2 linked regions of the Callithrix jacchus genome follow. The protein of the gene in region 2 interacts with the protein of the main gene of each other region in a pairwise test. Links are inferred from orthologs where the notes say so. Each region holds a gene or a part of one and is shown on either strand. Other genes may lie near its edges.

Evidence for each region. The genes of interacting proteins can lie anywhere in the genome.
Region 1: the proteins of LONRF1 (region 2) and CRX interact in binary tests that used the Homo sapiens proteins (3 or more experiments, as listed by UniProt). The two-hybrid records come from large-scale screens. The link is inferred for Callithrix jacchus from reciprocal best matches to the Homo sapiens genes LONRF1 and CRX.

The regions. Positions count from the first base shown.
Region 1 is NC_133523.1:41,741,472-41,746,395, reverse strand, and holds part of CRX (cone-rod homeobox protein), read right to left. Parts: intron 4,341-4,924; 5' UTR 4,307-4,340; coding exon 4,207-4,306; intron 2,220-4,206; coding exon 2,068-2,219; intron 183-2,067; coding exon 1-182. UniProt on the Homo sapiens protein: Transcription factor that binds and transactivates the sequence 5'-TAATC[CA]-3' which is found upstream of several photoreceptor-specific genes, including the opsin genes.
Region 2 is NC_133514.1:28,999,552-29,005,062, forward strand, and holds the start of LONRF1 (LON peptidase N-terminal domain and RING finger protein 1), read left to right. Parts: upstream 1-2,190; 5' UTR 2,191-2,255; coding exon 2,256-2,976; intron 2,977-5,511.

The sequences.
Region 1 (4,924 bases), on a different chromosome or scaffold from region 2:
GGGGGGCTGTAAGAATCTGAGATGCCCAGGGGGTCTGGACACACATCCGTGGAGGGTCTTGGGGATGTGCCCGCCTTCCTCTTGGCAGGCCGGGCCTTGGCCTGACCCCCTGGGGGCTGCTGCTGCTGTTTCTGCTGCTGCCGCTGCTGCCTGCATTTAGCCCTGCGGTTCTTGAACCAAACCTGGGGAGCAAGAGGGGAGATGGGGTGGGTAAGTGGGGAAGAGGCCTAGGAGAGCCGCAGGGTTCCCAGGAATGAGGATGCTTATTGGTGAGAGGTGCCAGGGTCACATCTCTCTACTTTGCTTCCAGCTGTGGAGCATCTGTTCATCCATCTATCCATCCACTCATACATGCATGTGCCCGTGAACACATGCATACATCACACCTACATCCATCATCCATACATGTTGTGTACATGAACACACACATATATCACACCTACAGCCATCCATCCAATCATACATGTGTGTGTACATGAACATCACACCTACATCCATCCATCCAATACAAACATAATACACACATACAATTATACACACACCATACACACATACACCATGCATACATTTACCCATCTATCTGATCATACATACATATACCATACATATATTCATCCATCTGATCACATGAACATACAAATATACAATTATAGACACATAAACTGTACACATATACATCATACATAGCTGCACTTTAATCATACATACATACAACACACATTTCATTTATCAATCCAATTATACATACATGTGTGCACATGTGTACATCATGCATACATCATACAAAATACATGCATACAATTATACACACATACGCCATATACACATTCATTATGCATCCATTCATCTGAGCGTACATGCATACCTCATACATGTATATGTCATGTACACATTCACCAGTCCATCTGATCACACATACATTATCCAGACGCTTACCCATCTGATGATACATACAAGTGTACACACATACATCATACATAGGTTCATTCATCCATCTTATACAATTGTATGTACATACATCATACACACATGCATCACACATGTATTAATGGTCTATCTATACATGTGTACATCATATGTACATTCATCCATTCATCTGATCATACAAGCATACAAATATACAATTATACACACATAATCCATCCAATCATACATATATACCCTCCTACAACACACACTTTGTCCAATCATATATACATGCATACACTCATATATAAATACACCCATCCATCCATTCATGCATGCATACATACAACTGTACATGTGTACATACATCATGTATACCTACATCATGCATGCATACATTCAACCATCTATCTTACCTATGTGCATTCATGCAAACACATATATACATGTATCCATTTAATCATACACAGATACTCATGCATGCACAGACACTCATCCACGCTTCCAATCACACATACACACACACACATATACAGTCACACATACATACATTCATCTATGCATCCACCCACCCACCCATCAGTCAGTCAGTTCATAAATGTGCATTAACCATCTTCTACTACTCTGAGGGTCCATCCATGGAACTGACATTCTAGTTGGGAGAGACAGAGCCTAAATAAACAGTAGATACATAAATCAGATGGTATCTTAGAGGGTGATAAATACTGTGGAAGAAACAATTGAGCGGGGTAAGGGGCAGCATGGAATCAGGGTCGCGGGGAAACACCGAGGGGTGAGATGCTGTGGTCAGTGTGCGTCTCATTGATGGATAAGCAAAGACGCAAACAAGGCGATGGGGCCTGCCATATGGTTATCTGGAAAATGAGCATTTCAGAAAGAGGACACTGAGTGCAAAGGCCCCAGGCAGGGGGGTGCCCAGCAGGCAGGTCAGAGGCCAGCGTGGCCGGAGAGGATCGGAGGGCGGTGAGAGCAGTAAGAGGTGGGGAATCAGTGGGATGGCGGAGGGAGGAATTTTTGTCCCCTTTATAACTGTGGCTGTAACCCTGTGATCTCTCCCTCCTCCCATCACTCTGGGTCCAGGGAGGGCCCATGGAAGGTCACAGGAAGGGTCGGGAGGGGTCCGGGGACCCACCACCGCACCTGAACCCTGGACTCGGGCAGACTGATCTTCAGAGCCACCTCCTCGCGGGCATAGACATCCGGGTACTGGGTCTTGGCAAACAGTGCCTCCAGCTCCTCCAGTTGGCTCCGGGTGAAGGTGGTCCGTTCCCGCCGCTGCTTCCTGGGGGCGCCTGGGGTGGGATGGGAAACAGGACCCTCAGATCATCCACATCTGCTGCCATGAGGAGGCCCTGAGGCTGGTGGGATGCCAAGAATTCCATCCTGGGTGCCATCTGCTGAACTAGGGGTGGAATACACGTTCCCTGCCCTCCTACACCTCACCCTGTCCTGGCATCCTAGGGCTCATGCCTGACCCCAAGGGGAACTGGCTTTAGCCCTACAAGGCAGTGTATCCATCCAATATATGTGTCAGTCATTTTCCCTCTTCGAAACTCTCTCATGCACCGTCTAAGACACATTCAGTTGAAGCATGACATTAACAATTTCTAGCCTATAAAAGTAGCAAGTCCACACCGCTCAACTTAGTGGGGAAAAAAAAACCAGCTAAAGAATAACACTACAAATAACTGAGTGCTCACTTCACTCAAAAATAAGGATCTATAAAAATTAGCCAGGTGGGGTGGCAGGCGCCTGTAATCCCATCTACTTAGGAGGCTGAGACAGGAGAATCGCTTGAACCCAGGAGGCGGAGGTTGCAGTGAGCTGAGATGACACCATTGCACTACAGCCTGGGCAACAGGAGCGAAACTCTGTCAAAAAGAAAGAAAGAAAAGAAAAGAAAGAAAGAGAAAGAAAGAAAAGAAAGAAGAAAGAAAGAGGAAGGAAGGAAGGAAGGGAGGGAGGGAGGGAAGGAAGGAAGGAAGGAAGGAAGGAAGGAAGGAAGGAAGGAAGGAAGGAAGGAAGGAAGGAAGGAAGGAAGGAAGGGGAAGGGAAGGGAAGGGAAGGGAAGGAAGGGAAGGAAGGAAGGAAGGAAGGAAGGAAGGGGAAGGGAAGGGAAGGGAAGGAAGGAAGGAAGGAAGGAAGGAAGGAAGGAAGGAAGGAAAGGGAAGGGAGGAAGGAAGGGAAGGAAGGAAGGAAGGAAGGAAGGAAGGAAGGAAGGAAGGAAGGAAGGAAGGGGGAAGGGAAGGAAGGAAGGAAGGAAGGAAGGAAGGAAGGAAGGAAGGAAGGAAGGAAGGAAGGAAGGGAAGGGAAGGGAGGGAGGGAGGGAGGGAAGGAAGGAAGGAAGGAAGGAAGGAAGGAAGGAAGGAAGGAAGGAGAAAGAGAGGAAAGAAAGAAAGAAAGAAAGAAAGAGGAAGGAAGGAGGGAGGGAGGGAAGGAGGGAAGGAAGGAAGGAAAAAGAAAGAAAGAAGGCTTTGTAGGCCAGGTGCAGTGGCTCATGCCTGTAATCCCAGCGCTGTGGGTGGCTGAGACAGTTGGATTATTGAGACCAGCCTGGGCAACACAGGGAGACCCCATATTCACAAAAAAATAATAATTTTTTGTATGTTTTATTAATCCAGATCCTGCACAATCTACAAAAAAATTTTAAAAGTTAGCCAGCCATGGTGGCCTGTACCTGTACTCCTAGCTATTCGGGAGGCTGAGGCAAGAGGATAGCTTGAGCCCAGGAGTTCAAGGCTGCAGTGAGCCATGATTGCACCATTGTACTTCAGAGTGAGCAACAGAGTGAGACTCTGTCTCAAAAATAAAATATATATATATATACACACATACAAGCTTTGCTGCCTAGTCCTGATGTTTCACACCTGCAATCCCAGCTACCCTGGAGGCTGAGGTGGGTGAATCCCTTGAGCCCAGGAGTTCAAGGTTGTGGGGCGCCATGATCACACCACTGCACTCCAGCCTAGAAGACAGGGTGAGACCCTGACTCTGAAAAATAAATGAATAATAAAGTGTTGCTAACAGATGAAAATTCCTCGCTGTCCCTTCCAGATTGCATCCCCTCTTCCCCGCCCTAAAAGGAACCTCTATCCTAAATTTCTAGGACTGTCCGTGCTTCCCTGCATTCCCAAGGGACATGCATTTCAGATGAACCCAGAGAGCTGGTGTATGGTGAGGTCGCCCCCGTGACTGCCTTCTTCCTGCAGGCAAAGGGACCCACAGGTCCTCCAAGAGATGGGGCCAGCCTGGGGTGCCAAGAGAAGTGAATGTACTCACTTGGGTAGGGCACAGCCTGGTGCATCAGATCCACGCTGGGGCCACTGAGGGCCAAGGTGTTGACGGAATAGTGGGGCCCCGGGTTCATATACGCCATCATGATCTTCAGGGACACTGAGGCCCAAGTCAGGGGCCTGCAAGAGAAGAGGAGGGATGCTCGCTCACTTACCAGTTACTCACATGTGGTGACATGTGGTGTGGGAAGCAGAGAAGTTCCTTTTTCAAGTTTCCTTTCTTGGAAAAAGAGTACGTGTGCTAATAACTCTCTGTTAAGCCCTATGCTATGTAGCTGTCAGACATGCCACACTTACAGTACATTCTATATCCTTGTACTTTAACCAGGATATCTGTGCTGGACGTGCTCACAGGCATGGCCCAGCTCTCCATTGCTTTTACCTGTTGAGAAAAGTTTTAAGTTTTTAGCCAATCAGGTTTTAGTTTAGATTGAGAGGTCTGGCCCCAACCAATGGAGATCAGACACAGCAGTAAGGATGACCCCAAATGCATAAGATATAAATTTGTGTGTTTTCCTTTGTTCTTTGTACTCTCGGGGCAAGGTGGCTAGCGAGGGTACCCTTCCTGCAGTCCAGGAAGTAAAAATTGCTTGCCGGAAGATCCACTGTCTCAGTGCTGATTTTTCTTTGCAGCACCGAGCATCTATTTCCAGCATGCAGGCTGAGATTCAAATCCTGCCTCAGTCTCTTCTTAGGTACGTGGC
Region 2 (5,511 bases):
CCTGATTCAGAGGGAAGTTATGCAGCACACAGAGGCCACAGCGGCAGTACAGCCTCTTACATAAATAAGTTACATAAATGAGAACAAGTTATGTAAATGTATAAACCAGCAAACATGAATTATAACCATTCACAAATGCCAAGGAGAACACTGCAAGATTCCTCCTACAGTCCCATTTTTTTTCTCCCACACATTATCATAATTGTGTCATTTTATTTCACATCACAATCAGATGTGGTTGTCATATTTATTAGGGGAAGGAACTCCAAAGGACAAATAATACTTCACATTTTTTTTTCTGAACCACATATTGTACTTTTGGCAGAAATCCCATAATGGAACCTGACTTTATATTTGAAAAGAAGTTTATGAGTTGTTATTAATTTATGATACTCCTTGTATAAACATGAATGCATTGATTAAATATTTACTCTTGTACATTTTGCAAGTTGCCATTAAGAATAAGAATGCGTCACAAAATGAATGTGCGTATACACATAGGTATTTGTTATATTATTTGTGACTTCAGGTCTCAAGGGATATGTGGGCATCAGATGAAAGTCACTGTTCTGCTTGTTGCGGGAAGGTAGTAATTTAGGGGGTTAGGATTGGAATTAAGGTTATCCTCATGAATTAATCCAAATGTTTCACATGCCAAATGCTTAGGAGGTGCTCTTTGGATCTGGCTGCAGTTTGGTTCAGGTGCAGTATGAATGATAAATGAACTTGTTTGTGTCTGCATCCTGTTGGAACAGGAGGCTTGGCTTTTTCTCAGGCACCTCTTTTGTATTCATTCCCCTTAGGGTAATATAGCTTTATCTTTTCTGAAGTTACACGACTTGCTCATTGTGTAGGGAAAACATACTAACTCAAAACATCTTTTAGCCTCCTCTGTTCCTTATAAAGAGACATAGTAAACTTTTGCTAATTTCAGATATAGCATGTTCAGATGAACTCTCCAATTAGCAACTTCCTTTACTTTGAAAACCTCATTTTCTATGAAATATTACATATGAATTATTACATATGATTAGTCTAACGTAGTTAATAGTGGAATAGACGTGATCTTAAAATCTATTAGATTCTGTGATTTTGAACAATTAACTTTGTTTCCAAAGATTTGAAAAAGGACTAAAAATTCTAAGTGACTCCCCTAATTCTAATATCCTATAATCAAATCTACAAATATTTTCAGCGGAGAGCTTTAAATTTGCTGCTGTGAAGTTTAAGGAAAACAGAACCCATTTTATATCAACCCTATCATTTTCTTCTGTCGGCAAAGCTGCAGACCCTGCTTTGGTTGTAGTAATATGGTGACCGCCATGTGAAAAACATTTTTCTTGATGTTTTCTTTTACGAATGCCAAATATAGACTTTAGCCAGCTGTAGGGCAGTTCTCGAGGTGTGGGGACACCTAAGGAAACTGGGGGCTTTCTCCCTCGAGGTGCGTCGGGGATGAGCTTTAAGCAGGGCTGGAGGCAGTCAACCGGGCACCAGGAAACACACCTTACCCTCTGGAGGAAGTCGCCCCAGGAACGTGGGTTTTTTGTTCAAGTTTAAAGTTGAGGCCTCTAGACCCGAAGAGTCCGAGTCATCGGGCTACGGTGCCCTCCTAGACCCCCTGCTTAGGCGCGCCCACCTGGAACCCAGGCACAGACGAATGAAAATGTAGACCCGCACCTGACAAGCACTAGGCCACGCCAGGAGAATCCCGCCCGCCAAGAGTTGGGGCAGGTCCCGCCTGGGCGGGCGCCTCGGGAGAGGGGTGGAGACCCGAAGTCCCCCGCGGCAGGGGAGTGCCCTCCAACCAGGCAGGGGCTCGGGCCACCGCAGACCGGGGACGTCGGCGGCCAGGCGAGCGGGGTCTAAGGCTCCCTGCTTCTTCGGGCTTTGTTCCGTCACGAGCCGAGTCCTCCATTCCGGAAAAGCCGATAGCTCTCCGCCGGGAGATTCATCCGATCTGCGTCTCTCGCTGGGAGCGGGCTCGGAAGGGGCGGGGCCCAGCGCTCGGCTCCTTGGTAGCGCGGCCGCGGGCGGCGTGAGGGAGTCCCGGGTGCAGTCGCCAAGCGGGCCCCGCCCTCGCCAGGCCCCGCCCCCGGGGCTTCCCGGGCGCGCGCCGCCCCGCCGTGTCCGCGCGCCACGCCCCCCTGCTCGCGGGCCGCGTGCGGAGCCGCGCGCCCGGGAGGCTCCGGGACCGTGGCGGCGGGCGGCGGCGGCGGCGGCGGTGGCGGCGGCGGAGCAGCCCTCCGCGGGCCATGTCCTCTCCGGCGGTGGCGAGGAGCTCCCCGGAAGGGAGTCGGGAGATGGCCCCAGCGCCGCAGGGCCGAGGCCGGTTCTGGGAAGTGGGCGGCGGCAGCGGCCACCGGCTGGAGCGCGCGGTCGCGGAGTCGGATCGCTGGGAGCTGCTGCTCCGCCGCGGGGAGCTCCTGGCGCTGGGCGGCCACCTGAAGGGCGCGCTGGAGGCGTTCGCGGCTGCGCTGCGCCGCGGGGCCCCGGCCAGGCCTGAGTGCCTGGGTGTCCTGGTGGACTGCCTGGTGTTCAACTACCGGCTCCGCCACGGGCTGAGCTGGAGCGCGGCCCCGACTGCGGGTGCGGACGGCGGCGCCGGCGGGCTCCTCAGCTGCCTGGGCTGCCGGGGCTTCCTGAGCGAGCCGGTGACGGTGCCCTGTGGCCACAGCTACTGCCGCCGCTGCTTGCGGAGGGAGTTCCGCGCTCGCTGCCGCCTCTGCCGGGACCGGCTACCGCCCGCCACCGCCAGTGCCACCGATGCTGAAGGGACTGCCCCGCGGCCGCCGCCTCTGGCCGCCGCCATCGCCGCCTCCGACTTCAGAACCAGCGTCGTCCTCAACCACCTGGCCGAGAAGTGGTTCCCAGGCCAGCGCGAGCGGGCCCGGGCAGCCGGCCGGCTCGGGGAGTTGCTGCACCAGGGGCGCTACCGGGAGGCCCTGGCCGCCGCCTGCGAGGCGCTGCGAGCAGGTGACCGCGCGGGGATGCGGCGGGGCCCGGCCGACCGCACCCTTCTGGCCCCTAGGGCCCGGGACCCGGAGCTCGTCTGCACCCCGGGAGGCTCCTCTGCTTCCCCGAGGCCGCTGGGCCACAGGAGTGTCGGGTCTTGGGGTGCTGGGGGGTGTGGGAGGGGGCGGCGCCCCGGGGTGCTTCGGTCACAATGGGGATCGCCCTGGAAGCCGACTGTGACGCGGCGCGGGGAGGGGCGCTCAGCGCGGGGTTCCCTCGACCGCGGCCTGGCTGTCGGGCGCGCGCGCCGGGCGCGGAGTGGGTGACCGGGACCGAGGCCGCCCCAGCGCGGGATGGGTGGGAGCTGGGCGAGCCCCAGCGTCCGCTCGCTTCCTGCCGCGCGCTTTCCGGGAACTGACTCTCGGGCTGGGCCCGCGGCGGGGAAATTACTGCCAGGGCAGGGAGAGAATCCTCCGCGAGGGGAACGAGGCCGGTCAGGCGGCGTCTCCCTTCCCCACCCACAGAAGTCACCGGGAAAATTGGGAGCCGCGGGAGGGCAGAATTGCGTAAGCTGGGGGCGGGGGGCGTTGTGTAACGAGTGACGTCCGGTGGGCGTGGCGGGAGCTCCGCGCGGGCAACCAGCACGGGTAGGACCCGCAGGCCGCCGAGCTTGGGACTTCGGGTGGACCTGCCCTGGGTGGTCCCTTGCTACCTGGAAATTTCTGGACTGGCTCCTCTTGAAAGTTTCAGCTGGCCTGTTTCAGAGCATACTTATTTCCTATCTACTTTCCAGTGCACCTAGTGTATGGTAAAGATGAGGGGGGTTCCCAGATCCGGAGTTCTTTGCCACGCTTCTCTAGGCCTTTCCACTCATGATCAAGCTGTGAGGAAAGGCCTTGTAGGTCTTGAGTGCATTTCTCAGTCTCCAAGAAGCAGCCTCGGCCTCCTAACCTAGGTTAGCACTTTCCTTCCTAAGGTGGTTTTAGGTGCCAAAAGGGGGCAGTGTCAGGTTTCTCTTACATAAAAGAGTTGTTCTTTAAATCGGTAGTTCTCTACCAGGGGGATTTTATCTCCCCTCTCTCAGGGGACATTATCTAGAGCAGCATCTGGAGACATTTTTGGTTGCACCTCTTGTGGGGCTGGTGCTAGTCCCAACAACTAGTGGGAGAGGTGCGGGAAGCTGCTCAGATATCCTAGAGGCTATCAGGCCCCTTGTTTTAAGCGTATTTCAAGATTACAGTGTCTGTCCATTGGCGTGAAATGATAGTTGGGGGAATGATCCCCAAGAAAATAGACATGTAAAATAGCAACTGACTTTGGGTATTACAGGTAAATGTATAGCCTATGTAACTGAAAGGATCATCTTTCGGGTTATCTTTTGCCCCACGTGCTTAGTCATATTGAACTAATGTCAAGATCTTGAGTTTTACCATTAGAGTTCGCAGCACAAATCTCGGAGATTTTTGTATTCTTTCAGCGCCTTTGTGAGGAATAGGCAATTATAGAATGATGGGCTCAAAACAAAAGAAAAGTATGTGGAACACAGAATTCTGATACAGATGACTCTGCCTCTGAGTTAATAAAGAGAAGAGAAACTGGACTCCGCTGTACAGACCACCTAGTCGCTGACCATGGTGTGATTTTTGAAGGGGGGAAGCAGAAGCCAGGCAGTGAAGACTTGTACACCGTCATACAGTTAACTGGTTGAGAGGCAGCACTGAATCTTCTTCCACTTCTCCTAAACGTTGGTTTAGGGTTCATCTTGCCTATAGCTCATCCAATGAAAATGTTTAGTATACCTTTCCAAGGAAGTTTCTTTGGTCACTGAGGCTGAAACTTATGGACAGTACTATTCAATACTACTCACTACTGATTCAGTGATTTGACCTTAAATTGGGTGTTTCACAAGAATCCAGGTCCTCATCCATGGAAGAACAGTGAGCACATTTGCTAATAGAGTTCTAGCTTAACATTCTGTGACCAGTAATATTTTAGTTAACAGAGATTCTGGTTCTTGAATCGAGGATATTATATTTAACAGGAAAAGGCTCTGAAAGATGTAATCTCTCCTTTTTTTCAAGTTGCATAGATTGCACATGGGAATTTTGCCCACTTAGCAACTGAATCCTACTTTTGCAGGAATAGAACCCAAGTCTTCTGACTTTCACCTCCTTAGCTTATTTTTTCCTCACTTTTAGTTCTTTCAGGAATCATTAATTCCACACTTGAAAATGTCTGAATAGCACTAATGAGGATACGTTTTTTAATCTTTTGAATTCTTAATGTGAAGTAACGGGAAAAAATCTTAGAGCTAATAAATTAGAGTTGGCCAATTTATAAGTGTTTCACAATTTTTGGGTGTAAATCAAAATATTAACTAGTAGAGTCATAATCTATTTTTATAATCATTAGGCTTTAACTTCTTTGGAATTGGCAAGCTACCTAGATAGGCATTTGAAATATGTTTATAGAACTGTACAGTTGTAGTTATTAATGACCCTGCCATTATTGTTGATAATGAAAAAGATCTTCCCTATAATTTCTCCATATAATTCC